Rhinolophus ferrumequinum: one gene and its partners. The protein of the gene in region 2 purifies or fractionates together with the protein of the main gene of each other region. This does not show direct contact. Links are inferred from orthologs where the notes say so. Each region holds a gene or a part of one and is shown on either strand. Other genes may lie near its edges. The genes, in order: DCAF10, CUL4B, COPS9 and WDTC1.

Region 1 (7,833 bases), on a different chromosome or scaffold from region 2:
CATTTAACACAGATGCCACTTTTTCTAAAAAATTACTTTAAGTGCTATAAAAATTTGGAGTATATTAGTAGATGTAGCAAGATACTAAAAACTTAAGCCACTGAACTATTTTCACCTATCACCTTGACATAAATGAAAAAGAATGGCAATGTTCTATGTTGGCAAGGGTATAGGAGACAAGCATTTTCATTTATGTCTCTGGTAGGAATGAGAATTGTTATAGTCTTCAGAGAGGACAATTTAATAGGTATCCAAAATCTTCATAACCTGAATTCATTTCAGGGATTTATCATAAGGACATAAATCTAAAATATTTGTTTACAGAGGTTTTATTTAAGCTAGTGAAAAATTTTAAATGTTGCAGAAATATATTAACATAGGTAATTCATAATATATTGTATAAAAAAGCAGGCTACAAAATAGCATGATTCCATGTTTGTATTAAAATCAACATATACAAAGAAAAAATTTTCTGGGATATCCAATTAATCTTCGGGATCATAAGTTTTGTTTAGCTTCTTTTCATTCATTTATTGCCTAGGTTTTCTACAATGAGTATATATTAGCTGGGTAATTAAAAATTATTGAATTGTTTTAAATATCAGAGTGCCTAACCACTTTTTACAAAAATGTTTCTATGAGAAAATACAGTCCAGATTCAGACAAGAACTATCAATAATATATCCCTCATTCTAATATCACTGGAAATAGAATTCCTCCTTTATAACTCATTCTATCCCTCTCACCCTCTACCTAAAATCCCACCTCCAAGAGTAGAAACAGCGACTTCTGAAGGTCTGACAGAATAGATAGGAAGAGGGAGGAGAGGAGCTGCGATATGGAGAAGAGAGGAACTGAATGTTCATGAGGAAGAGATTCTTGGTATTTTGGGAGGAGCTTTAAGAATAGGGCTTGGTTTGAGGAAATAGAAGGGAGAGAAGATTCCATGAATAAACTTCAGCAAAAGTTTTTCTTTTTACCAATTTCCTCCTCTATATTCAGGTGCAAATTTATTGCTACAAGTTCCATACAACTGCTATAATGAGAAACTCCAGAGATCCCAGTACCAAGTGTAATTAGGAAGAAGCATTTGCATCAGTGAAATGGAATAGGGTGTACCTGGCTGATTCCAGACTCAGTTGCTTTGCTCCTTTCTGACTGTATGTTAAGTCTTTCTTTAGCAAAATTCTTTGCGTTGTTAATCTATCATCTTTCAGCTTCTCTGACATGATACACTGCCCCTCCAGACACATGCCTTTGATATACCAGTTCCTACATATGAAATATTCCCCAATGCTAGCTATCTTGACTAACTCATCTTCTCATTTGTCTGATCTTCCTTAAGTGTCACTTCCTAAGGGAAACCTCAAACACCCTATTCTACAACAGGTTCCTTCAAGCCTTTATCTCAATTTGTAAATATACATTATTAATTATTTAGCATGGTTATTAATATTTAGTTGAACCAATTGGTCCCAAGCTCAATGAAAGCAGTGCCATTAGCTGGTTTTGCTCACCACCGTAACCTCCATCTCTGGTACATACAAATGCTCAACAATTATTTGCTGAATGAGGGAATGAATGAATGAACAACTAAGCAAATGACAAGAATCCAGAAGCCTTGATAAGGTACGAGTTACATGAACTAAGTCGTCTCATGGTGGAACTGTGTGTAAATTCTTTTCTTTGACTGCTGTTAAACTTGTTCGCATACTCACAAAACAAAGTTTTAAGAAGATACATTATTTTGAAAATTGGCACAAAGTAAACTGAGGCCAAACACGAGCTATTTAATCAGCCAGGAAAAAGGCTGGTTCCTCTTAACAGAAGCATGTAGTCTAGCCTGGAAACTTCACAAATGCCCCACATCATGACACACCTCTCTGCAGTGTCTTTAGCATCTTACTGGAGCAATGGAACGCACACTTGTCCCCTCAGGGCAAGTCAAGCACAGGGTACAAGGCATCTGCAGGCTCCCTACCTTTGACACATGCTTAGGTGAGAAAAACTCATGCCAAGGTGACAGGGAAAAAATGAGCATTTATCCAGTGTATTTACTGAGCATCTATTACTGTGCCAAAAAAAAAACCCCGTTTTGGACTGGTTCTGACAGACCTGCTAGTGACTTTAGAAATTTCCCCTTCACAGAGCCTGGGCGTCCAGGTGAGCAAATGAGGCCACCGGCGGCCGACCTCAAAAAGCCGGATGGGGCCTCCCACAGAGATAGAGCATTTCAGAAAGCGCCAGAGGCATGAGGCCAGCGACGCCAAACAGACTCGCGCACCCCGGCCCGGGCCGAGCAAGCGAGCCCTGGGCAGCGGCCCACGGGCAGCCGAGCCCGGCGGAGCCGGGTACCCGCCCTCCGAGGGGCCGCGCTTACCCGTCGGGCGAGTACTCGAGGTTGAAGACGGCACCGTGGGTGCGGGTGCTGAGGTACACCGAGTCGGCAGGGTGGATGGAACCATAGAGGTTAGTCATGGTGCGGAAATTGTCCCGGGCCGGGTCCACAAACAGCCCGCGGCCCAGGCTGCGTTCTCTCAGCCACCCGAAGAGCCGGGCGCCAGGGCCGCCCAGGCTGGCGCCGAGGCCGCGCCGACCCCGGCTCCCGACCCTGCAGTCTGGCCCGGGTCGCCGGCGCGTCGGGGAGGGCGGTAATGGCTCTCCTGGGGCGGAAGCAGCTGAGGACTCCAGTGCTCCGGCTAACCTGATCTCCCCAGCATGCGAGGCCTGGGGCGGCGAGGGGCCGCGGGAGCGACGAGGGCTCCGGGAGGGCGACGGGGGAATGGCTGCGTCAGCCCCGGGCAGTGGCGGCGCGGGCGGGGAAGGGAGCGGCCCGGCAGTTGACACCTGTCCCCCGTGGGGTGCCGGCTCCTCAGTCCAGGCCTCCCGGTCCCCTCCGGGGCTACCGGGCCCGAAGGGAAACATGACTAACGCCCCCGCCCCCCCTCTCCCGGCCGCTGCCCCGCTGGCAGCCACCTCGGCCCTCCCGCTCCAGCCGCCACTTCCGGCGCGCGGCGGCCTAACCCCGCCGGCTGGGAAACCCGCGCCTCCCTTTGGCCACTATCCGCCGGGGACCGCGAAAGCCGGGACACCGACCGAGGGCGGTCGGGAGCGACTAACTGTCTGTGTACACAACTGAGAATGCAGAGGGCCGGGGCTGTATGGTGCAATTAGCATCTGGGCACCTAGTGTAACAGAGTCAATTTGTAGTTGTCAGCGACCGTGACTGTGTGCCAGGGGATGAGTGGGGCTGACTAGTCAATGAGGTTGGGTATGATTATGTACTGTTATCCCCCAGTTTACACTGAGATCAGCGAGGGGAAGAAATGACCATAGTATGTGCAGGTCACACATAGTAAGTGTTACAGTGTACTGCCTACTGAACCTGGGAGTCTAAGGACTCTGATTAACTTATGCACTAAAAAGCCCTGGCCCATACAGTGCCTGGAAAATGGAGCCTACTGGTGCCCTGATATTTGCCTGATTCCCAGCTTCTGCACAGTAGGTCAAAACTTTATCAAGGTCAAAGCCTTCCTCTCTGCAGAACCAGGCATATATCCAGCCAGGAGTCACTGAGGGGAGCTGGAGACCTGAATCAAATCTATCTTACATGCAACAGAGCCCAGGATCAACCCCATTTACAATCTCCCAGGCAGGGCATGGAGGGCATGACAGATACAAGGCCCTTCACTGCTGTTGAAGATAAATACATAGAACTCTGCATAAAAGGATTAACAGGAACTGGGGTGTTTTTTGGGAAGAGTAGTCTTCAATAAAGGAAAACTTGAGGTACAAGGAGGGGTAGATAAGGAACTGACAATTCTAAGCCTAGATCAAGAGCTGTGTTGTAGAAGGTTCACATTTGGTGACTGAGGAAAACTGTGGAGGATCTTTGTAAAAAGATCTATCCTGTGAGAATAGACCCAAAGTATATCTGGAGGAAGGAAATGAGATTCAGAGGGCTGAACATTCAGCAGGTGCTCCCAGCAGGAAAGTTAATAGTTACTCAGCTCTCCTGTCTACGAGCTGATCAAAAAAATGGCAAGAAGCATGCGTCCTGAGTTCAGATAAGGCAGCCATTCCTCTGGAGATATTCCCTATGTTGCCCACACAGAGCAGAAGGGGTAAAGGTCTGTCATATGATTAACAAATAATCTCCCTTAATGACCCACAATTTCCAGCTGCAACAAATATTTAATAGAGGCCCCGTGCTTGACCTCCAAGTTATGGCCAATGGCTAAAACTTTATGGCCTACAAAACCTTGGCCATGATACATTCACCAATGGTAACTTTTTCAGTAAATAAAATAAAACTTAATTTTAAGGGTTCCATATTCTAAGGCATTTAAGATACAGTTCCAATAGAAAAACCCAAGCTCTGCAAGATTTTTGTGCTAGCTCAAGATAATTAGATTTCACAGTTCAGGCAATTCAAAATTAACACACTATATAACCCCAAAACTGAATAAGAACTGTTCACTGACAATTTAAAGAATCCAAAGAAATCAAATGGGAACAAAAACATTTTATAGGTTTACATGTACCTCTAGCAATTAGATACGAATCTTGAAAAGTTAAGATACCCACAGACTTTAGCCCAAAAGCAGAAGTGTTTGTAATATACCGAACAAGTCTTTCAGTAATGCCAGTTTTTTTTATGCTTCTACTTAAAATGTTAAGTGCTCACTTATTCCAAATAATCTTTACTAAAACCTAAAATAAACCTAAGGACTAAAATAAATGACCATGATTTTACAACCAATCAGTATATATATATGTATAAAAACCACTGGAAATTAACTGAGAAAGCCTTAAAGATAGAACAACGTTAACCATGCCTGCTCCTATTTATCCACTGCCTTTGAGACTCTTTAAATACAACCATGTTAACAAGGAACTGATTTCAAATCACAGTCTATATAGACCAATTTCTGTGTAACACTATTTTTGAAAGCTAAAAATTTTCCAACTTTAAATTCCTGAAATTCACAGATGTCAGTTCATCAAAAATGCTTAAAGCATCCTCTGAACTCCTTTGCTCCTGATGCTCTTTTTAGATAACAATAAAAGTAAACAACTGGCAAAGGTTTCCTGAAATTGGCAAAGGTTTCCCCTAGGCCCAGGTATCACATGTTTCTAGATATCCCCAACACTTAGGATCTATCTCATCAAGCAAGCAGGGAGCAAATTTATTTACTCTCTTCCCTGTCCACTGACTAGATGTTTTCAGAAAACTACTTCCCCATTGATGTCTTCTAATGCAACATGCCTGAAATGTAAACATTGGCCTTTCCATTCAGGCTTTTATACTTTGGGAGCAGCAGGATCACTCTTGATGTCTTTGACATCACTGGTTCTGCCCATCAAATAGAACTCTTTGTTAGGAACAAGACTGACAAAATTAGCAAGACAGTTGGACATGGCATAAAAAGCTGAAATGGTAGCTATGTCCCAGGCATCTTCTCGGTTGAAGCCATGCACTTCAAGCTTTCTGAAATGGTCATCTGTTATGTCATCAGCTCTGGAAATAGCAAGTGCAAACTCCAGCATTGCCTTTTCCCGAGCAGGGAGGTCAGACTTTCTCCAGTTCACACAGACCTGCAAGAAAACACAGTCAGAAGCAGAATCTCTGTGCATCAAAATGCAGCCAATAAAACACAGGCCTAACGACATGGGCATTAATAAAAAAAATCCAAGGGTAAAGAGGCAAAGTCAGGCCATAATAAATTTTCCAGACAGATATCTTGGTCAAGTTCAATGGAATGCAAACCTGGAACTTTGGCTCAGTCCCACCTCTGCCAAGAAGTCTTCTTTACTCACTCTAAGAACTTCTTTCTTCACTAAACACCTATAGCATCAAAACTCTCAGAACCAGATTCAGACACTCTTAGTACATAAAGACCTCAAATCTTTTCATATGAGAAAAGTAAAGCTCAGATAATTATCCCTTTAATTCCCTAGGAAGTAGTATTTTTTATTACTACTCCCATTTTATTGGCAAAGGAACTGAAGCTCAGAGAGGTGAAGAGACTTCCCCAAGGTCACACAGCTAGACGAGCAGAGCTGGGATCTGAATCCAAGTGTATTGGATTCCAAAGACTATACTATTAATAATAATCATTACCATGCTGAAGCATAATACTACAAACTACTAAACACCTAAAAACAGAAGAATAGTTCAGGAAACCATGGTGTGACAGCACACCATATGGTCACTAGGGAGGCAATGCCTGAGAAACTGATCCTGGTTGAGCAAAGGTCTGGCGCTTAGGCAGAAGGCTCTGAGCAGGGGAAAGAGGATAATGTATCTGTCCTGAAGTTATCTTCAGGATAGCAACAGAGGCTCTCGGTGAACAGTTTGCAAGGTTTCCACTCAGGTAGGGCCAGGAGGGAAGATTGGGGAATGAAGACTGATGACCTTCAACCTCAGGAATAAATGCAGAAAACAGATATTTCTGTCCCCCCAGCTAAAGGATCAGGAATTTCACTATGGGGATCAGTAGGACTTTGTAAGCTTGGTGACAAACCCATGTTCACTATGTCTACCCTCAGTCCATTTCTCTGGGAAGAATTAGCATGACCTCCGACACCCAAATGACCCGACTCTGGATGAAGCAAGGAGAGGGTAAGCCATTGGCTGGGGCGTTGAGACCCATTTCACAACTAGTCTTGGTGGCAAAGAGCAGATGGAGGCAGTTCCAGAATGGGAGGCAGACAGGCCCAAGCTTGGGGTTAGCAGTAAGAAATAAAACCTACAAAACTGGCTTGGGCCCATTAGGAGTAACTTAGTGGGTAGACTACATTTGCACTGGAAAATGCAAACAGTATAATGTAACAGAAAGAGTGCATGCTTTGAAAATGGTTTCTGCCACATTCTAGCTGTATGCCCCATGTTAAGTTACAGCTCTGAACCTCAAGGGTAAAATGGTTATAATTAGGCTCAGCCTAGAGGGGGAGTTGTGTGCATTTGAGAGAATGTATGCCAAGTATCCAGTACCAGGTCTGGCACAAAGCTGGGGCTCAGTTGACCTCTAGCCCTAAACATCACGTACACACAGAAGCAGGTGGGCCAGTGATGGCGACTGAAAGGGAACTCAAGCAATGGGAAGAGCTAGAGACATGTGTTCTTTGCATCTTACAGTAGCATGTGCTTTTCCCTTTCCTCAGGTCTGAAGAGACCCTGAGACTGGCACAGGGGAGGCAGGCACTAACCTGGTCAGAGAGCACTGGGTTCTTCGAGTAGACCCTGTACTGGGCACTGTGGACAACCACACTGTATGGGCACCTGCTGGCCTGGCTGATCACCACTATGATTAGTTCCTTGTCAGCTTTGCTGAGCTGGCCTGTGGAGGAAAAGGAGGAGACCTGTCCACACACCCTGGACAGCAGCTCAGGAAGAACCTCGGCAGGCTCAGCCATATTTTAGCGATAGAGCTGCTCACCCACCTCCTCAGTCACCCATTCGTTTATGCATTCATTCCCAGTCCCTCACTACCAACTATCCTATTTTATTTTCTTCGTGATACTTAACACTTTCTACACTCAACTTGCTCTTTTATTTTATTTAGTTATTCATTGTTTTCCCCTCTCTAGATGCTGTTTGAAAGTCTAGACATTTTTCTGACTTGTTCACCACTATATCCCCAAAGGAGTACTTAATATGATATATAGTTGCTAAGAAATTATGTGTTGAATGAGTTACTAAATTCAAGGAACATTATCTGAGGCACATCAGGTACTAGACAACCACTTTTTAAAGACAAGGAAAAAGGAGAGAAGAGACTTCCTAAGCTCAGGAAACCTACTACTTGGGGGTAGGGAGAGGCAGAGAAG
Region 2 (7,099 bases):
CCTCTTTAATAAAAAGCCCAACAGATTTGGTATTAAATACATTTTTTCCTTCAGAATCTTCTGCATTTTCTGCAAACACTCCAGCATATTTCAGGCAGACTGCTAGCTGCTTATCTTCAGATATCTTCCAAATCATCCCTCCCTGTTCAGGACACTTTTCAGGGACACTGAGAAGGCTGTTAAGTCTTTTCATTGATTCTATACTTAAGACAATTCCTCCTTCTACACTCACATATTCAAAGTCTCCAGATTTTATAGTGTGGCCCAGATAGAAAGGTTGTGATGGATCCTTTTTTAACAAAAAATACTTTAAGTTTTCAATAATAGCAAACGTGGAGGGGCGTGCAAGGAAGAACCAGTTGTACTGGTCTCTATATTTATCAAAGGTGTATTTGTAAGCTTTTCTCATTATTAACCACATGTCATTTGTTTCCATGTTAATTGACTCAAACACTTTAACATTTTCAGAACTGAAGAACTCCGCTTTGTCACAGTGTTTGGTCCAAGTCTCCTTCACTGCAGCCCAAAGACTCACATCTTTGGGTTTTACAAGGATGATACAGTATACCCGAAAGCTCTTACTGAGCTCCATGCGTTCATCCTCTGAAATTTTCAAGATATCTTCTTTCTTAGGAGCTTGTAGGTGATGATGCTCATGGTGGTACATTCTATTTCCATAACCAATTCTAATGTGTCCTAGCATAGTGATCAAGGCACAGAAAATGCTTCCCAGCATCACACCCTTCAAAAATGAACTGCTTTCAGAAAGCATTTTTCCTATAAAGAAGAAAAAAATCCTTAGGATACTTAAAAGAAAAGGATTAACCTAGTGATTTGATTTGGTATTCCATATGTATACTTACATTTTGGTCTTAACATTAAATAAAGGTTCCCAAATTTGAAATCAAGTTAGTTGCATGTAAGTACCAAAGGGTCTAATAATAATTAGCTTCCAATTTATACTGTTCAGTATAAACTGGAACTTTGCAGCAACACCTCTCTGCAGAATTTTCTGGGAGGCTATTTTTGTATTTCATCTATGGGGATTTAATTAACCAAGTACTAAAAGCATTAACTCGAGTAGCCAATGTTACATAGATTATTCTTCCATCATTCTGTTTAAAGGAATTTCGTATCAGAAGCTTGCATTATATTATTTAAATACCTCTTCAGATACAGACTTTTACATCAAAATCTTAAATTGAACAGATAAAACCACCCACAATTGGCAAATCAATGGTATCTGTGCTGGCATTTTTGTTCTCAACCTAGTGCTTTATTTAACTGATGATTGTTGTCCTTAGGTGTTTTGAGTACATGTAAAGCAAGTTTCTTGAAATTGACACAGTGTATGTTAATATTTACCCTATTGTTCCTAAGACTAAATGGTTTCCAATACAGTATCCCAACTAACTCATGTAATCAAAGCCCACAATGAAAATAGTTAAATTATTTGAATGATAATTTGGGGCACCATTCTGGGGAACCATTAATGAACAGTTTTACTTCCTCCAAGGCATTTTCTTATTCTTTGGGGAAGTAAAAGGAGAAAAGTTTACACTTTTACTTAAATTATAAATTAAAAGAAAACCCAACATTAAATAGAACTGTCGAGATTTTCACAATCTCCCCTCTATCTCCACAAGGAATGGTGTACTTAGCTACTGAGATTCTCCCTTTGTCTCTTAAAGTTGAAAAGGGTCTTAGAAGCTACCTAATGTAATTTCTCTCATTTTACAGCTAGGGAGAGGGTCCAGAGAGTTTAAGTAACTGACCCAAAGTCACAGAGTTAGTTAGTGGTAGAACTGAACTAGAAATCAGATCTCCTGACATCAATTTAATGCCTTTTCTATTACAGAATAATGATCTCAACAGTGCTTCTACTGCCCCTGAGCCATTTGAGAATTTACTGATATTACCGAGAATTTAATAAATAAGTTACTGAATAACCTTGTTTTCCTACAAATCAAAAAAACAAACAAAAACCTGTGGGATTTTTAACCATAGCTGACACTTTGGACACGACATCACTACACTGCTACGAGGAAACCATCCCGTGATATTCTTCTACAGGAAATGGACTTGGACTTGTACTAGAAGGACAAGGTGTGGAATAGCTTGGCAGATGTAATTCCTGAGTGTGGGTGTGGGGGTGGGGAAAGAGGCAGGATGGTTTTCCTGTGCCACTCACAGAACTTGGTCAATAAACACAGCTCTAAGAAGGAAAAGAGAATTGACAGGACACAAGCTCTGCTTAATATTAGAATTGTCAGATGCACTCTAAAATTGATTTAGATAGAATTTTCGCACTTCATATTATGCTATTTTCATTTCTGGCTAATATATGATAATTCATACGTGTCTCTTAGCTTAATAATGCATATGTATGTCAGAATTCTTCTCGATGGGGTCACTACTTATGGCTTATTTGCACCAATTATTACAAAGAGATCGTTTTTTTAAATCAGGGTGGCAAAAAATGTAACACGGGAGATGCACATGATAGCATATTTGGTGCAGAAGAGGGGGAAACTTAAACTGCACACAGGCACAAATAAAGCAGACAATATCAGTGTTTTCTGAGATGCATCGTTTTAGAAGGTGAAGATGGTTGGGGTGGAGTATAGAAAAGGGAGGACGAAACGGAAACCAGGAGGGAGGACATGGTCACTTCAAGATCCCATTGCGGGGCCAAAGAGGGCCTTCAAGAAGGCGGCTCTCGGTCTACCGCCCGCACTACTCCCACTGCACCTGCCCGGGTACCCCGCATAGAGCATGCTGGGAGTGGGCCAGGGCCCAGGCCATCCCCCAAAGAAGGGCGGGGTTGGGCCGCTTCGGGGGCCGCTCCAGATGCAGGCCGATGCCCCCAGCACTCACCAGCGTCTAGAACGGTTCAGGGGCGGGAAAACACACCCGCGCACGGCTTTCCTCTCACGTTCGCGCGCGCCCCTCGGGTACGCTCCTGGTCGGGCTGCTCTAGATGCAGGCGGTGTAACCTCGTTGGTTTCGCTAGAGGTGGGTAGGGCCAGGAAGTGGACGCCGCGACAGCGCTGGCAGCGGGGCGGGGCAAACGAGCCCTCGGCCAGGCGGAGACATCGGCCAGCGCAGACGTCGGAAGGACCAAGCGCGCGCACAGCGCCCACGCACCGCGCACGCAGCGCGTCCTTTCTCCCCGCCCTCTGCTGAGGTCAGAGAGGCGCGTCCTGCTGGCTTGATCCGCACGCTCGCCTGTACCAATGGGACGCCTAGAGAAGTGTGCAGGCGTAGGACCTGCTGATACCTCCCACCTCTTCATTTTCCGGGCGTGAAAGCTGCGAGAGCAAGGAAGAGCATTGCTGGTTGCAGCTCTTGTGGCACACCTTTCAATGGTTTCTCAAATGTACTCTTCCGTTACTCCTTGGGCCAAAATGAAAGCGACTTGGGCCAAAATGGAAGCGACTGAAATAGACATCGAATTATGAAGGCAAGGATTCACTGTGGTCATTGGAAGGACATCTGAAGCTCCACTGTCTGGAATCCAATCCATCTTCACCGTTCCCTTTGGTATGCTAGAAAAGTGGCTTCACCTCATTATGCTTCAGTTCCCTCCTTTGTAAAGTACAGAAAATATCACGGTAGTGCTATCTCATAGGAGGTTAAATGAGATAGTGCATATGACTCCAACAAAAGACCAAACATAAAGTAAGCATTCATTGAATTTTGGCTATTATTTTTTACCCCTGTATCACTAGCACTTAGCCTGCTGCTAGCCTGTAGTAGACAGTACACGTTTTTGAAATTAATGAATGCTAGAGCTACAGATGAGGAACCAGGACCAGAAAGGATAAAGCACTTTCTAAAGGCCACAGAGAAATTAATGGCAGAGGTAGGACTAGAACCTAGGTCTCCTAAATTGCACTAAACATGCCATCTTCCATTTTAAATTCATTTTTGTGACAGACGGGTTTTGCTAAAACAGTACAAATTCTTACAAATATTTAAAACGTACTGTTAACTAGCTTCCATCCAAATAACACTGAGTGGTGACTTACTCCATACCTGAGCTCCTAAAGACACGTATATTTGACTATTGGCAATGACCTAGTTTAAGTAGACTGAAGGTTTCAAGAAGCACTGAGACAATGAACAAATCGATTTTAGGCAATTACTATCCTGACAGCACTCCTAAATTCTGGAGTTACAGTGGTGAACAAAATTAGTCCCCTGCCTTCATGGAGCTGTCAGTCTAGCAGAGAAGAAAGGCATTAAACAATTCATTACAAATAATTACAATAGTGTTATGTCCTTTAAAGAAATACAAAAATGAATTTTAGAACTGGAAAGGAACTTAAGACTGCAGAGTATATTCACTGTATTTTGTTAAATAATATATATTGTCTATTTTCACATATGTAGATATATGTGTATGTATGTGCATATGTATATGTATATAGTTAAGTGACACAAGTTGCGGAATAATGTGTATAGTATGATTATACTTTGCTGAAAATGAACAGAGTTTTCTATGTGTGCACATATATTTGATCTGTTTGTATGAGCAAAGAGTTGTGGAAGGCTCCTCAGCAAGCTGTTACTATTGATTACATCAGGAGGTCGAGGTGTGGGTGATTAACTTTCTCTTTATACATCCTCCTATTGTGTTGTTTCACTGGATATAACAAGCATTTGTTACTTTTGAAGACCAGCAAATAAAGGGACAAAATTAGAGGTACAAAATGGGCAAGACGGAAAGATACTTCTTTTAAAGAATGCAGAGAACCAGTCTCTTCTTGCCAAAAGGCACCAATGAAGGACAGATAGAAATGACACTCAGGATTCAGAGACAGTGACGACCAGGCAGTTAAGAAATACAAATTGGTAGTGACAAGAGTCACAGGGATGTACAGTACAGTATGGGGAATATAGTCAATGATATTGTAAAAACTGAACACTGTCAGATGGGACATAGACATATGGAGGTTATTACTTTGTGAGGTATATAAATGTCTAATCACTATGTCACTTTGTACACCTGAAACTAATGAAAAAATAAATACAATGCATCTTATGTCTAGTACAGGGAGGTTAACCAAACTGGAAATATTGCTACAAGAAACAGAATAAACCTCAGGATTTTCAACACCAAAAGCACTGTTAATGGGAGATTGCCTAAAAACCCAGTTCTCTACTTAAAGCAGAGCTTAAATATTTTTAGCATTGGAAATGAAGTTAGTGTGATGATGGACTTGCAGTTAGGTGATTGCAGTTTTAGAACACCATTCTACGTTATAGCCCTAACTTAAAAATGCATGCAATTAATATCTGTTAAAATTAAGAATATTTATACTCTTTGGCCCAGCAAACCTGCTTCAGGTAATCTCTCCCCCAGAAATTAAAGCACCAGAATGTAAGGCTAAATGTATAAGGGCAAATACATTGTTGTTTATAAAATAGCAAAAGTGGGGAACATCCACCAATAAGAGAATGGTTTAAGTAATTATGATACAGCCATGTAGTGGAATATTAAGCATAAAATAAACATCTTATTTCAGTAACCTGCACTAAACATTTCACTAAACATATTAACCTGCACCTTGTGGGGGAGGGTTGCTTTTGAGTTTAGTTGCCTTCATGTACCCAGTAGGTAAGTAAGGCAAGATTGCATTCAAAACTGAAACAATGCATTTTTGGTAAAGCCCTCCTCCCAAGTGTATGCATTATTCATAATGAGAAGTCATTAATTTCCAGTAATTGGAGATTCAGTAGCATGTGAGCACTCGAATTTTCGAAATCACTGCAAAGGCCTTTGGGAAATGAACATGGCTTTCTACAACAGTTCACTGGAATAATAAAATCTACTTTTGACACAACTACCCGTTTATAAGGAGCACAAAGGACAGAGAAACATATTAAAGGAAACAGGATGAGACTATTTGCACCAGACTGGGTAAATGTACGAGATGAAAAACCAGATTTCTTCAACAAAAAAGATCTACTTTCTTCTGGGCAGAAGTAGTACACGTACTACAGGTACTTAATGTTGGTAAACACAGGAGACATTTTGTTTTTAGTAGTTTCAGGTGCACAAAACAATGTAATAGACATTTATCATTTATATCCCTCACACAGTGATAACCCCCCTCCCCCGATCCACTATCCCTCTGACATCACACACAGCCATGGCATTTCCACTGTCTCTATTCCTAAGGCTGTACTCCAATTCTTGTAAATATATATATATATATACACACATATATATATATATATTTATTATATATATAAAATTGTAGTTGATATTCATTATTGTTCAGCTTCAGCTTCAGGTGTACAGTGCAGTGATCAGGCATCTACATCTTCCCTGAGGTGGTCTCCCTAATGGGACAAGTGTCCATTGGATACCCTACAAAATCTTTACAACATTATTGATTACATTCCCCAAATTGACTTTCATATCCCCGTGGCAATCTTGTGGTTACCTATTGTGCTTTCTAATCCCCTGACCTTCCCCCTTATCCCTACACCCCCTCCCATCTAGCAAACTTCAGTTTTTCCTCTATGTCTCTGAGACTGTTTCTGATTAGTTCATTCATTTATTCTTTTCTTCAGATTCCACATATACGTGAGATCATATGGTATTTGTCTTTCTCTGTCTGACTTATTTCACTTAGCATAATGTTCTCTAGATCCATCCATACTGTTGCAAATGGTAAGATTTCTTTCTTCTTTATGGCTGCGTAATACTCCATTGTATAAATGTACCACATTTTCTTAATCCAGTCGTCTACCGATGGGTATTTCGGTTTCCATGTCTTGGCTATTGTGTATAGTGCTGCAGTAAACATAGGGGTGCATACATTTTTTTGAATTAGAGTTTTGGATTTCTCCATATACATACCTAGGAGTTGAATTACTGGGTCATAAGGTAGTTCCATTTTCAGATATTTGAGATTCCTCCGTACTATTTTCCATAGTGGCTGCACCAATCTGCAATCCCACCAACAGTGCACGAGGGTTCCCTTTTCTCCACATTCTCGCCAGCACTTGTTGTTTGTTGATTTATTAATGATAGCCATTTTGACTGGGGTGAGGTGGTATATCATTGTGGTTTTTATTTGCATTT
Region 3 (7,824 bases), on a different chromosome or scaffold from region 2:
TCAAGGCTCGGCTCACATGGCACTGCCCCCAGGTCTGAGAGGAGCTGGTGGCACACAGGATGTTGCTTCAGGGGGTGGCCGGGCTGCACTTAACCAGGAAGACTGCAGTTAACCACGCAGCCTGGCTTCTCCTCTTAGGCAACAACCGGCTGAAAAGGAGCCCGATAAAATAACCGGGACTCAGGCAGCCAACCGTCTTTGGTACTTTGAAAACGAACATGGCAACATAACATCCTAGCTGCCACTAACTAGTAGTGACAAAAGTTCTTTGCAGTAGCAGGCACCTTGGGTTAAAGGAGGACGACAAAGGGAGAAATACCAGTCAGTACTCCTCAGAGAACGATCCTGTGCTTCTCTGATGACTCAAACGCTCAGGAAGGAGTAATAGAATCTGTAGGAACATGGTCTTCAGAAACTCGAAGAGACCAAGAAAAACACGTCCTCTGACACATGAGGATTTCACGTAAAGTTGCCTGCTGTTTACTCGGTAAAGCTCCACACACATTCTGGGTAACTGAAGGTCTGAAACACGAATGGCCCTGGTTTCAGAGGAAGGAGGGAGTAAAGCTGCAAAGGCAGCGTGGGGACAGGAACCCAGTGGACAGCAGGGAAAGGAAAGAAACCAGCCGTCAGGAGCGAACAGGCATGAGACGCCTGATGGGGTCCCCATGCCCATGTCTAGTGTTGCGGGCCATGGCCCAGACATGACCACGGCTTCAGGCATCCAAAAGCGTGTCTACAGCTCACACTCAATGCCCAGAATGTAAGACTGGGAGCAATTTTATGCTATTTTTATCTCCTGAAAAACAGGGCTGGCTGCCAGTGCTAACAGCCCCTGCTGTCATTTCATATAAACTGTACTGTGTTCCGAGAACAGCACTGGATCTGGGCTTTACTGTTCTACGATCCAAATCATCCGTGTCACAAGGTCGCTCCACGGCACAGCCTGCAGAAGAGACACTCAGATGAAAACTGGCAGCCCCTCCGCACCCTTACCGTTGAAAAAGTCTGCGTGCACTGCCTTCTCGTTGGCTGCCAAGTCCATCAGGAGGCCGGTGCTGCCTCCTGCCTGCGGAAGGGAAAGGTGAGGCTGTCAGCAGCGTTTTCCGCAGGTGAGAACCGGTGGTAAGTGCCTTACAGGCTCCACACCACCACGCAGGAGGAAGGCAAGGGGCAGAGCAGTGCCCAGGGCAGAGTCAAAATTTAGCTCCAGGCGAAACGTGGGAGGGGCGGGAAGGCGGAGTTCCCGGGAATCACTGCAGGTCTCCTGGGGTCCTGCATGCCTAGATTCCTCCTGGCCCTTTAGATAGAGCCCGGCCCTGCCCTGAACACCACTTCTCCGTGAACCTCCAGTGGAGGTCCCAGTTCTCTGCGGGACGTCGCCACAGAGGCTGCAAATGTGCGAGCCTGCCAACCTCTCTGCTCTGGACGGCTCCCTGCTCCTTCCAAAAAGTAAACCATTTCCCTTGGGAACTGACCTGCTGACTGGTTGGTGAGGGGGTGCCATCACAGCACCTCCCGGTGCCACAACTCTATGGTGGCAGTAAAACCACAGTACGACCAAAGCTGGGCACTGTGGTGAGCTCAGGCTCTGGATGGAGTCTTAGAGTCACACGGTGACGTCTGAAGTCGGAGCAGAGTCCGCCGCCCCGCGCCCGCCCCACTGCCCCCAGGCCCTGCTGCAGCCCTGCCCGCCGACTTCCCCCAGGCTGGCTGCTGCGCCTTCTCCTGGCTCTCAAGTAGGTGAGTGTGCCCCGTGTCCCCTGAATAGCTGCTCTCAGTGACCCCGGGCTTCTCCACCTGCCGCATCTCCTCTCAGCCTCCGCCGGCTTTCTGCATCACCGGTGAGCCATGCAGACTGCGCGCTGACACACTGTGTGCAGTGTGTCCCTGCGTCCATCTGCAGGCGCTGTCTTCATTCGGATGCTCCCGGCCCTCCTGGTCCTCGAGCTCTCACTCCCCCTGCAACGCCCTCCGGCGGCTGCCCGCACAGCGCCTTCCACAAGCCCAGCAGCCGGGGCTGGCGGGCGTGCTGGGTGCGGTGCGGCCCCGCCACCCCAGCAGGGCTACCGGCCGCCCCCCTCCGGCTCCTCCCTGCCGTCTCTCGGCACCTGAGGCCCGCCGTGTTAAAGGACATGACACTGCCGTCCCTCGACCCCCTGGGGACGCCCGCCAGGCCTTCCTCCTGCGCCCTCTGCCACCGGGCAAACAGCAGCGCGACCCTCCGCGTGTGCCCCGCTCAGCAGCCCTCCTAAGCTGTCGCGGGGCCTCCCCGACGGCCGCAGGCGGCCCCAGCACGGCGCCTGCACCTTCCCGTGACACAGTGTCTGCAGTCGGCCCTGCCTGCCGTGCCGTGACCTGCAGGCGCGCGGGGACGGCTGTGTCCCCGCTCGGCTTTGAGACAGAAAACGAGGCCCTGCCGTCGCGCGTGGGCCCGACACTGTGCCGGGCCGGCTCTGCAGCTCCCAGCTCACGCACAGACTCTGCCTGTGACCACGGCGGACAGGAACACGCGAGGCCACCTTACGCCTCTGTAACTGCAGGACGCAGCGCGGTCGCCGCGCCAAACGTCCCGAAAACGCGCGGTCACGCAACTGCCGAGCCCCCGCCCAGCTTCTCCCCCGGCCTCTGCCCAGATGACACCGCACGACGCCCCGGGGACGCCCCGCCGCCTCCCGACGACGCGCACCCAGACCCCAGCCCGGCGACCCCCCGCGCCGCCGACCCCGCACCCTCACCGGTGCTCGGGACCCGAGTTAGGCTTGGGTTTGGGTTCAGAGCCGTCGGGGCAGGGGACGCGGCGGGGCGGTGGGGCCGTCCCTCCCGACAGTCCGGCCCCGCCCGGCCCGCGGCCTCCCGCCTCACCTCGTCCAGGTCCACGTAGGGCCCGGCGCCCTCGGGGAACATCTCGTCCACCGCCGGCTTCATCTCCTTCGCGGCGCTCCGGGCGTCCCCGCCTGACTTCCGGCGCAGCGGCCGCCTCTTCCGATGTGCGCTCAGCCGCGGCAGGTCTATACGCCGGAGGGTCACCGACTCTATGGTGTTTTTGTTTTGTTTCGTTTTTTTTTCTCCTCCCCCTCCCCGCCCCCCTTTCTCTGGCAGGTCTAGACCCAGGAGGACCGCCGACTCTATGCTTTCCTCTGGCCTTTGGTTTGGACCCACAGGGCTGGCCCTGGTCCCAGCTGAGGTGGACGGGGTTTCCCGCCTGCTTGTCAGGCACAAGGGGAACTGCTCAGTGACTTATTGGTGGCCCATAGCCACAGACAATTCAGCCCAAAGCACCTGGCACAGAAAGGTGCCCAAGAAATTCTCATTAAAGAATGTGAATGGTCAGCAGAGTGAAGAGGCAATCCACAGGATAGGAGGAAATGTTTGCGAATCATAAATCTGAGACGGCGTTAACGCCCAGAATGTATAGAGAACTAAAATTCAACAACAACAACAACAACCAGATGCAAAACTGAGCAAAAGACGTGAATAAGGACATTTCTCCAAAGATACACGAATGGTAAACAAGCCCATGAAAAAATGCTCAATGTCACTGACCAGGAAAATGCAAATCAAAACCCAATGAGATGCCACCTCACACCTATCAGGATAAAAGCCTCCAGAAAATAACAAGTATTGGGGAGGATGTGGGGAAACTGGAACCCCTGTGCACTGCTGTGGGACTCTAAAATGGTGCAGCCGCTGGGGAAGACACTGGGGCAGTTCCGCAGGAATTAAACATAGAACTACCATGTGCTCCAGCAATCCCACTTCTGGATTTATACCCCAAATTGAAAGCAGGGTCTTAACGAGAGAATTTTCATACCCGTGTTCACAGTATCATTCACATCAGCTTAAACGTAGAAACAACTTGGGTATCTATCCATCGACAGACGAATCCCCCAGCCATCAGGCCAGCAGTGACCATGGCAGGGATGGGACAATGGTGGCCATGGCTCACGCTTGTTCGTGGCGAGAAGCTCAACAGTGGAGTGTTGAGGGGTAAAGGGGGCTGAGAACATGGGCAGGAAGTGGAAGGGTCCCCCACAAGTTCTGACTACAAGAGGGGGTGCATAGAAGAGAACTGAACCTGCTGTGTGCTGAGATGAACAGGAGGGGTTCTTGCCAAATCTGAGTCCTAAACACGGCAGTGAGGTGCCCCGGGAGCTGCAAGGCGGGCAGCCTGTTACCTAGTGGGCGTGGGGTCTGGGGGATGTGGGGGGTGCAGGCTTCATCCTCTGAGAAAAGAGGGAGGGTCAGCTGGGCCTTTAAAGACACATAAATGTGGCCCAGCTGTGTGTCCCCTGGCAGCTATGGGGTGCTGCTGACTCCTGAGACGGGACATAGTTCTGGCCAGAGCACCATGGGGTCTGCCCAGGAAGGCACCCAGGATTAGGGACTTTCCGAGCAGCCGACAGAGAGACAGAGGGGGCCACCATTCTTTAATGCTTGCACACCTGCCAGCGAGGTGTGCAAGCACACACACACACACACACACACACACACACACGTCACTACCGGGGAAATCCAGCTGCCAAGAGCATCTTTTCTCTGGTCTGATGGATCGAGACCCAGTTGTCCCCAGTGGGAACTTATGACAAAACCTCATGTCCAGCTGTTATATGAATCAGGAATTTTTTTTCTCTCAAAAAATGCAGCTAACTTACAGAAACCAAATTCAAACTAGTTCAAGGGAGGGAAAGAAAGAGACAAAGAATGTATGGGCTTCCCCAAAGCAATTAGTTAGTCTTCTTGTTGAGAATTTAATCAGGGGCACAGGGAGAGAACCCACCAGGTGGTCACAGGAGGTGGAGGTGAGAGGGCAGCAAGCCTGTGGCGGGCTGGGGTGAGGGGGGTGACCACAGGAGGGGCCGAGCCCTGCTGCTCTGGGCACCGCGGCAACCTCCCCCTTTCCAGGGCCCTCACAGCCCTGCTGGGGTCCGTGCCTGGGTCCCAGGAAGTACCCCCCAAGACACTGTTGCTATGAGAATTCTCACAGTTACGTCCCCTACTGCTTGAGATAACTCGACTCTTGCTCTGAGCAGCAGAAATTGCCTCACTCATCTTAAAGGACTGCCTACCAAGCCTCCCGGACGGATAGCACGCAGGACCAAATCCAGCGCCATCACGTATTTCCTCCCAGATAGAATGGGTAGCACACAAGTTTCACAAAGCCCTACGTAATTCTTATTATGAGTCACAGTTTCTGTAGCTAGACTTTAGCACACATACCAGTATCTGTAGTGAAATACATCATACTTTCTATTATTTTATTTTAGTAGAAACTCTGGTTGCAGCCCATTAGTTTCTTCCATCTGACAGGGTGTGACCTGCAGGGTCTCCAGCTTGCACACCTGCCTGCGATGGCTCACCATCTGCACTGCAGGTGTCCCCGTAGGAGAGTCTGGTCCCTGAGACGCCGTCCATGCTGCCTGTCCATCCTTCCTCTTCCTCCGGAGAGCACAGGGTGGGCAGACCTAGTGCTCCCAGCGCCCTGACCCTTCCACAGAGACGGAACCCCTGCTGCCTGGTGTAAACCGCCCTCAGGAGAGTGCCGAGTGTGAGGGGGGCTGTCCAGGCAGGGCCTGCCCAGGGGTGGCCGCTGCAGGTCTGGCTGCTATCCAGCTTAGTGGCTAAGGGCAGGGGCTCTGGGGTGAAGCTGCCTGGATGGGCCTGGGTCCATCAACAGCTCAGCCAGTTACCTGGTGTCTCTTTGCCTCAGTTCCCCCACCCACACTCTGGGGGACCTGCAGCACCGCTCCTAGGGTCAGGGTGAGGATGAGATGACGGGGGACACAAAGCAGCGAGTCCTGAGCTAGAGCTGCTGTGTCTTCTATGGACAGAAACTGTGTACATGCTTATCAAAGAAGTGCTCGCTGACGGTCAAAGGAGCAGCTTCCTGGGCCGAAAGAGAAAGGAAATGGGTCCTGAGTGGAGCTGTCTCTTGAAAGAAAACCACAAACGTGTGTTGTGCATTTTAAGTCAGGAGTTTATTGAGCTGAGGCCAGACCCAAATCCCCTCGGGGTCCCTCTCTGCCCCAGGGCGCCAGGCTGGGGACCTCTCAGTCCTCCTGATAGGGGACATGGAAGCCCAGGGTGTTCCCCAGGGGGAAGTGAGCAAAGAAGGTGCGGGCCATTTCGTCGATCTGGGGGTAGGCCCCCAGCGTCTGGAAGAAGTACACATAGTTCCAGAAGTCAGACGTGGAGAAAGGCCAGTAGGGCATGGCCGGCAGCTCAGCGTAGGGGTCTGAAAGACACAATAGCCGGCCTCAGGGCTGTGCCACTCATCCTGCCCCCTGGCCACCCCCATGGAGGCCTCAGGCAGGTGAAGGTGCTCAGCAGAGCCAGCGCGGTGAGGGGACCGTCTTGGCTGGGAGTGCGGCTGGGCCACCCCAGGTCCTCCCGGAAGCACCCTGGAGCCTGGTTATTGGGGCAGCAATGGGGGATGACCCAGGCCCTGCCCCTTGGACTCCTGGTGTGGGGGACAGAGGAGGAGGCGGAGAAGGTGGGGAAAGTCTGGCCTCCCTGGAGATGCTGAGCGGGGAGGGAGTGCTGTGGGAAGGACGTGGGGCTGTCCTAGTGGGATTTCAAAGGAGACCACAGCCCCCAGCCCTGGAACCTGTATGTTACTGCACTGAGCTAGAACTCTGGGTCCGAGGGTGGGAATGTCAGTGTCCTCAGGGGCTCAGAGGGTCCCAACACCATGCAGAGCCCTGAGTGGCCCCTATCTGATGTGTCCCCCGGGGCCTGGAGGGCAGGGCCTGGGAAAGAGGCGCCAGTCCCTCTGCTCGCACAGCTGGGCCTGGAGCGGACCCAGGGGTCCCCTTCAGCTGCTTGGAATAAGAAGCAGCTCCCACCCAGTCCCTCTCCTTCCCCCAGCCCCACCAGACAAGAGAAGAAATGGGAGGAAGATACAATACCTCCCTCCTCCTGCACAGGCTTGGCCCCTGCAAAGGAAGAGGAGAACAGTCACCCAGGAGAACCCCCGGGGCGGTCTCACCACACATCAGCTGCCCTGGTGGCAGGGGGACGAGGCGCAGAGGGGAGCATGCAGGAGGACAGGGAGCCTCTCACCTGCCAGAGGCACCAGCAGGAGGCAGAGGGCCACCCCGTGCAGCAGGAAGGTTTTCATCTTCCTCAGACTCATCCCCACTGACCCGCTGACTGGCTCAGGTCCGCCTGCAGCAGGAGGAATCCAGAGGGTGAGACCACCCACCCGTCAGTGCCCCGGCTTCTTCCTGCCACCCCCAAAGTGGACAACTCCCGGGAAAACAGCTCCGGTGAAAAGACAACTTCTTAGTGTTTTCATAGCAGTTTTAATTTCAGTGCCTTCAAAGTATTATTCTGAGGCTAAACCCTGCGTTGCTCTGGCCCTGTTTAATTTCAACAATTTAAGAAACCGCACCTCCATCTGCTGCCCTCCCTGAGGTTACCTGGCCACCTCGCTCTGCTCCTGTCCTCAGCCTCAGTCTCGCAGCTGATGGTCGCCTGCTGCCAGCACACAGGCTCCGCTTTATAAACACCAGGACAAGGACGGACGTCACCTACGTGAACCATCAAACTGAATATTTCATCCCCCGCCAGAGGACCCGGGGCTTGTGTGACGCTGCTGGCAGTGGAACTGCACGCGTCCACGTTTGGGAATCTGATCCAAAGATCAAATTGGAGAAAAACATCTTTCTCAGGCGACTTCTAAGATTTGTATGACTGAATTCAACATCGGGACTCGAAATAAACCCATTTCCTCTCCCCCGGGAGAGAAAAATGGTCTAAGTCTGATACTGAGACTGAGATTCCCCCGCCCCCTGACCCCCATGGACTGGGCAATCACAGAGC
Region 4 (6,913 bases), on a different chromosome or scaffold from region 2:
CTAAAATAAGACATTAAATACAAAAATGCAAACAGTGATCTCTGAATCTAACTCTACAATAGGGTGAGAATTTTCTTTCCACAAAGTCTCTGGCACTGCCTCCTATACTCCAACCTGTTGGCTGAATCCTCCTCTTATTCAGTCCTCATGTTTTTAAGGTATTAGTCACTAATGTCACAAAGCCCTTTGAGGAGTCAGCAGCTATTTCTAATAGCACAAAGAATGAACCCTAGAACTCAGGGTTTCAGTCAGGTCTGAATTCACCCTGAAGAAACCAAAGTGGTCCCCTTTTACCCCTAAACCTGAACAATCAGTGAGGTGTAGTGGAAAGTGTATATTACCTCATTTAGTCCTCATAAACTCATTGTAAGGTAGGTGCTGTCCTAAGTCTTGTTTCACAGAGGAAACTGTAGCTCAGGAGGATATATGATTTACCCTAGGTCACACAGCTAAGAAAGTACAGACCATAGGTTCAGATACCAGCCCTACTACTACCAGGTGTGTAACATCCAGCATATTTTAAAACTTTCTGGAACCTCTGTTCCCTCATTTGTAAAGTGGGAAAATGACAGTACCTACCCATAGGGGATTTCAGAGGATTAAATGAGATATTATAGGAAAAGTGTCTAGCAAGCCTGGCACAAAGTAATGTTACATACATTTTAGTTTTTCACAGATCAAAATGATAGTAGTTTGATATAATTTTCACATAACAGAATTTAAAATACTAACAGATCACTTAGTCCAATTACCTACATAAGTATGAACTCCTCTATCACATCCTTGATAAAAAGTGGCAAAGCCTCTGCTTGAATACCTCCCATAATGGATAACTCACTCCCTTACAAGGCAGCCCATTTCGTTTTTAGGAAGCCAAATACTCTCCTACCAAGCTGTCTACCCTCTTGGAATTTCCATCCTTTGATGCTAGTGCTGCTTTCCAGAACCACACAGAAAAAGTTCAGTTCCCTTTCTGCAGGATAGTTCTTCAAGTATGTGAAAGCAGTTATCATGATCCCCCAGGCTGTGAGCTTCGGTCCTTTAAGCTCTTCCTCATGTGCCACAGTCCCAGAGGACACAGACGTGGGTTTGAATTTTGATCCTTTCCCTTACTAGCTGTATGACCTTAAGTAAGTTACTTAACATCTTTGAACCTGTATCTTCATATGTATAACAGGAAAAATGATTTTAACCTCACAGGGCAGTCATGAGGGTTAAATGAGATAAAGTAAGAACACTACATGGGACATGGCCCAACATATACCAGGCTTCCAATGAACACCGGTCACTTTATAGGCTATAAGCCAATTAGTACATATCTCTCACAGCATATTAGTCAGAATTAAACACAATACCAAGGGGTTGGTTTCTGACGGCAACTTCTAGGGCTTGGGGTTTTGAAGAGCTTTCTTCTTAGTTGTCTAAAAAGGAATTATGTGGGCCATCTGCAAATGGCAGCCCAAAGATGCAGTGGAGAATCTGGAAAGGTAAGGATGAAAGAAGAAAGAAAACAGGACATATCATTAAACCAGTGACCCAAAAGAAAATCTAAGTATCACCATATTACATGTTGTCTATGGTGTCCTCTCTAAGACCCAGGACTCCACATGTGGGCCACATTTCCTAATTCAAAAAGAAGAGAAGAAAATAAAAATAATTCAAGTCACAGTTCTGGGTCTTCCCAGCAGTTGGTCCCTCAAGATCCACAAATGTTTAGTGGGGAGGGAAGTGGGGGGGGGCTTCAAGATCTTTAGTTGCATCTTTCCAGATCCTTAAGTCCAGGTGTGGGAAAATACCCTACATAGGATGTTCCATAAGTCAATATTGAGTTCCTTCCAGCTAGAAAAATTGTCAGCTGTGTAACAACTCAAACTCAAAACTGGCAAATCGTAAATGTTAACACCATTACCATAATCATTACACATATTCTCTTTCCTTCCGCAACCCCAAAAGAAGGGGTCCCAAGCAGAAATACAGACTGTTGTTCAAATATTCTGCAGAGTTGACCCAAAGCACTGCTTCTAGAAATTGAGACGTGACTTGAAAATAAGTGCCCCCAAAATAGGTCAAAAGAAGGAAGGATTAGCAGGACCCCAGAATTAAAGCAGCATGATCACAAGCTGTGGCAAAAAAGGATGTTTCCCCCCTGCCAATGAAATACAACAATCTACGATAAAGAAATCCATTGTTAGTTTCAGACTCAGCTCAAAGGAGCCCTACTAGTTATTCCTTGGTCTGTGACAGTTGATCTAGCAACAGCCAAGATTCAATTCAATCCCTTTAAAAATATAAGGAATTACAAAGAAGAATAAGCCAGAACTAAAACCAGAAATAGCCTTAAGTAGTTCCTCACCTTAGTGAACAGAGACTAGCCACTCAAGAAGGACTGTAAGGTACAGAAAAGCTTAGGGCAGGCCACTGGGCATACCTGTGCCCTAGGTGGGGATTTCATAATGTCTCTGAGTCAAGATGTGCCCTCAGAAGAGTTTTCTTCTCAAAACTGTTGGCAGGCTTTGTTTAAAGGGAACACTTAAGGACTGTCACTTTATCCTTGGGAAGAATGGGGAAGCTACAGCCATCCTAGCGGGCTTCTAAACTCACAAACTTTAGGAAAACTTTAAACTCCTCCACTACCTCAAGAGATAAGTTACAGAAAGTCACAAAAGAAAAAGACTTCGGGGAAAACAGTCAAATGAGGCTATTAGACATTAGTCATAAGTACCGATACCTCCTTTCTAGAGACCCTGGTAGTACACCTGCGGAAGAGAGCCAGAGGGCACTAAGCAAATTCAACTTGGCTGGCAAGGGGGCGTCCCACTACAGCTTTCAGTAAAAAGAATTGGATCCTGCCGGTTCGCAGTCTCTCTTCTACTCCACACTTCCTATTTACCCTTTGAAGTGGGTGATGAATAGCCCGGTCCCAAGTAAAGGCCCTTTGTACGGGCGCTACAGTCGCCTGGTGGAAACACCTTGGCAGAGTTCAGTTTGGTGCCAGGATGGGTCACTGAAGGCATCTGCGACTGCCAGAAGCCTGAACACGAACACACACACACACACACACACACACAGAAAGGAGAGAGAGAGAGACAGAGAGAGACAGAGAGAGACAGAGAGAGAGAGAGAGAGAAACTAAGAGAACAGATCAGGTCAAACATTGCCCTCCCGGCACTTCCACCTGCGTGCCCCTTTCTTCCTGAGACCCGCGCCACATCAGATGTCAAACAAAAACTCCGCAAAGTCCCGGGATGGGACGATTTCCATCTCTCCCACGGCAGAGCCTCCCCGGACTCCCAGAGCTTTCTCTCGCCACCGTCCCGGTCAGCCCTCCACCCAGGCCCATCTGCCCTAACGCCCCAGTAAGGCCTGAACCCCTTTCGGGACACCCCGAAGCCCCGAGACGGGCAAGCTCAGGCCCCCGGACCGGCAGGGGCTGGGCCGGCCCAGAGCAAGCGGGCCGGTGTGCCGGAGCTGCGGGAGCCAGTCCTCGCCTCCGCGCCCGGAAGGCAAGGGGTGCGGCCCTCGTACCTGTCCAGGCCTCTTCCCAGGACCCCGCGGCGGCGCAACTTCAGGAGCCCATGTCCGTCTGGGGGCCCGGCCCCTCTCCGGGGAGGGGGGGGCACGGATCCCGGGGAGGGGGCTGGGGGGCCCGGTCAGCTCTAGCCTCTTCCCAGGCTCTCCGCCCGGCGCCTGGCCGGGGCCGGACAGCGCCTCCCGCCCGCCCCCTGCGTACCGCCTTACACCCGCGCTCACACACACTCACACTCCCTCGCGCGCTCTCATACACGCACTCCCCTCCCTCCTCCAGCACTGTTTATCTCCTCCAGCTGTCTGGGGGACCCAGGAGAAGCCCAGCTCCGCGCCTGCGCCACGCAGTCATCCGCCCCGCCCCGGCGCTTCACAGCCCAGCGGGAACGCTACGGAGAGAGCGCCTGGCCGTTTCCAGAATGGCGAGCTGGGCCCCCCCGCCGCCCTCCCTCGCGCCCGGTCAACGTCTGCTGCCGGCTTCCGCCTACTAAACCTGCTAGTGGGGGAGCCCCGCACCACCGCGACCAATCCGCTTCGCTCGCTCGCCGAACCCGCAGCCAGTGGGCAGGCGGGAGAGCCGGGCTAAGCCCTGGGGCATCCTGGGAGTCGTAGTTTTTCCTCCGTCGAAGAGCTGCGGCAGAGTGGGCCACCCCACCCAGTTGCCATTAGTTACAAAGACGCATCTCCCACCCTACATCCACGTAAGATGCTTCCTTACGTCTCTTCTGGGAGAAGCCTCACACGCAACCCATTGTCCCCCAGAGCCCGACACAGTCCTGCTAAGAGCCTCCTCATGACTTCTGAGAGCCCCAGAATTGTGGGACCCTCAGGCTGGGGCCCCAGGGCTCCCCACAGCTAGGCTCAGCTTACTCCTTCCTGCTCTGGGAGGCTGCACATTCCAAACTCTTGTCTCCTAGGCTTGAAGGAAGAGAATAAAAGGGAATCAGTTCTACACGGAGTAGCCTGGAGGGGAGCCAGCCACACACACTCTGGGAACCCTCAGGCTGATGGGAGAGGACAAGATACATCTGAAACTGGTAGAGGCACTGCTGAGGAAGAAGCTGTTTCCAACCTTTTAACCTCCTTTCTAAGGAAGTTCCCGAGGTGACAAGGGAGGCATCATGCTTAACTTCTGAAGGCAGAGACCAGGCCCCCACCCACAAGGAGTGTCAAGTCAGAAAAAGGCAGACAGTGAGTGCCATCTTCTGAGATTGGAACACTTGTTACTCACCTATAGGGTGAAAATTTGTTGGGGTAACAATAATAAACTGGCTTTTATTGAGCATTACTATGTCAGCACTGTAATGCGTACAGTTCCTTAGATAGGTACTGTTGCTATCTGTGTTTTGCAGCAGAGGAAGCTGAGGCCTAAGAGGTTACAAGCAACTTGCCCAGGGTCACATAGCTGATAACATCCAAGTCCAGATTGAAACCCAGATTTTCCTGACTCCAGAGTCTGAGCTTTTGAACACTATCTTTCCCTCCAGTGAGAATCAAGCAGCACCAAACCTCAGGAAAGATTGAATATACAGTAATGTGCTACTTAATGATAGGGATATGCAACATTGAGAAATGCAGCCTTAGGTGATTTTGTTGTGTGAACATCATAGAATATACTTACACAAATCTAGATGGCAATAGCCTACTACACACCTGGGCTATAAGCCTATACAGCCTGTTACTGTACAAAACAACACAAGATTAAATCAAGCACAAGAGAAAATAGTGCAATCCAATCAAGAGGTTTGTTAAACACAAGTCTACCGGTGCCAACACGACATACTGTTTTACAGCAAACATTTTTTTTTTTATAAATAGAAAGAGTACAGTCTTGAATAATAATAAAGAGTATAATATAGTAAATATATAAACCTGCGATATAGTTGTTTATTATCATGATCAATTATTGTGTGCTATACTTTTATATGACTGGCAGTGCAGCAGGTTTGTTTACACCAGCAGCACCACAATCTCGTGAGTAATACTTTGCACGTTACAGATGACCTCACTAAGCCGTCGGAATTTTCCAGCTCCATTATAATCTTATGGGAGCACTGTCATGTATGGGGTCCATTGTTGACCAAAACATCGTTACGTGGCTAATGACTGTACATATTTAGCATTTATAGTGTTTGTCCCCTGTTTATCACTCCGTGAGTTGCTTGTTTTTTCCTGCTCTGCTCACATCAAGAGTATGAGTTAGTCTTTGAGCTCCCAAAGGGTGATTTCTCCCCATATGGTGGACTTAGAACCTACCCTTGTGAAGTTAGCTTTGTGAAATGCCTTTCTCCTAAAAATGTTGTGGGTCATGCTTCCTGATCTCTCCCCTCATATGTTCCACTGAATATACAAAATCATAAACTTGGGGACTAGAAGAAACTTTGAGATTATCTATTCATAGCTCCTTAGGCTGAAACCCTGGTTAGGGTTACTGGGTCAATTAAACTGAATTAGCCAAAATTTATTGAATATTTACCATGGGAGTTAATGTTTATCAGTGAATGAAGCAATACTCTCACAAATCACATAGCTAGGAAGTGGTATAGTTGGGATAAAATCCTGGATTATTTGAATCCACAACCCCCATTTTAAACCCTTGTTCTATGCTGGCATTGTCACAGAGGATCTTGGAAATACCAACAGAGAAGTGTGGGTGAGGTTTCTGTGACTCCTAGCACAGTCTTTGGCATAGAGCAGACACTCAGTAAATATTTGTTGTCAGAATGAACTTTTTTGTTGGGAGTGGATGACAGGAAGAAGAATATTAATAATAGCTGCAGTTATTATTTATTGATTATTTTCTACCAGGAGCTCACTTGTTCTCTCAGCACTCTTTCTCTTTTCTGCTACCCATGTTTCCCTGAAAATAAGACCAACCCCGAAAATAAGCCACAGTTAAGACCGTCAGCCAGATGGACGCATTTAGTACGTTATGACGATGTTCCAGAAGAAGATGACATGACTGTATTTGAATAAACGTTGATTGTTATACATGAAAAAATAAGACATCACCTGAAAATATGCCCTAATGCATCTTTTGGAGCAAAAATTAATATAAGACCCGGTCTTATTGTCAGGGAAACACGGTAATAAGAGTATGTATGCATGTATGACATATGTGTATATATATATGTGTATATATATGTATTTATATACACACACATATATACATTCTCACACACACTCTAACTCATTTGATCCTCACAACCACCTTATGAGTCAAGTATTATTCTCACTCCCCTTTTCCGTAGAAGAAACAGAGACTCACAGGAGGGTTAAGTTTAGAATCAGACACCCCTCCCAGCCATAGGTGTTTTCAGATTAATCTAGGGAGAACTTTCTAACCAATAGAGCTGGGCTACTTTGGGAGGTTGTGAGCTCTCTGTCT

Evidence for each region.
Region 1: the proteins of CUL4B (region 2) and DCAF10 purify together in Homo sapiens (affinity purification with mass spectrometry; 4 studies listed by BioGRID and IntAct, with this or other methods). This does not show direct contact. The link is inferred for Rhinolophus ferrumequinum from reciprocal best matches to the Homo sapiens genes CUL4B and DCAF10.
Region 3: the proteins of CUL4B (region 2) and COPS9 purify together in Homo sapiens (affinity purification with mass spectrometry; 3 studies listed by BioGRID and IntAct, with this or other methods). This does not show direct contact. The link is inferred for Rhinolophus ferrumequinum from reciprocal best matches to the Homo sapiens genes CUL4B and COPS9.
Region 4: the proteins of CUL4B (region 2) and WDTC1 purify together in Homo sapiens (affinity purification with mass spectrometry; 4 studies listed by BioGRID and IntAct, counting the BioPlex papers as one, with this or other methods). This does not show direct contact. The link is inferred for Rhinolophus ferrumequinum from reciprocal best matches to the Homo sapiens genes CUL4B and WDTC1.

The regions. Positions count from the first base shown.
Region 1 is NC_046295.1:53,409,524-53,417,356, reverse strand, and holds the start of DCAF10 (DDB1- and CUL4-associated factor 10), read right to left. Parts: upstream 3,010-7,833; 5' UTR 2,926-3,009; coding exon 2,381-2,925; intron 1-2,380. Other genes in the region: uncharacterized protein LOC117031691, read right to left, coding at 5,305-5,598, 7,213-7,343. UniProt on the Homo sapiens protein: May function as a substrate receptor for CUL4-DDB1 E3 ubiquitin-protein ligase complex.
Region 2 is NC_046284.1:36,157,887-36,164,985, reverse strand, and holds the start of CUL4B (cullin-4B), read right to left. Parts: upstream 3,010-7,099; 5' UTR 2,878-3,009; intron 778-2,877; exon of another isoform or gene 773-777; coding exon of another isoform or gene 1-772. Other genes in the region: C1GALT1C1 (C1GALT1-specific chaperone 1), read right to left, coding at 1-772.
Region 3 is NC_046291.1:1,141,549-1,149,372, reverse strand, and holds the start of COPS9 (COP9 signalosome complex subunit 9), read right to left. Parts: upstream 3,021-7,824; 5' UTR 2,929-3,020; coding exon 2,866-2,928; intron 1,070-2,865; coding exon 997-1,069; intron 1-996. Other genes in the region: OTOS (otospiralin), read right to left, coding at 6,051-6,235, 6,909-6,935, 7,063-7,167, 7,422-7,545.
Region 4 is NC_046292.1:18,638,219-18,645,131, reverse strand, and holds the start of WDTC1 (WD and tetratricopeptide repeats protein 1), read right to left. Parts: upstream 3,006-6,913; 5' UTR 2,891-3,005; intron 1,480-2,890; 5' UTR 1,356-1,479; intron 1-1,355. UniProt on the Homo sapiens protein: May function as a substrate receptor for CUL4-DDB1 E3 ubiquitin-protein ligase complex.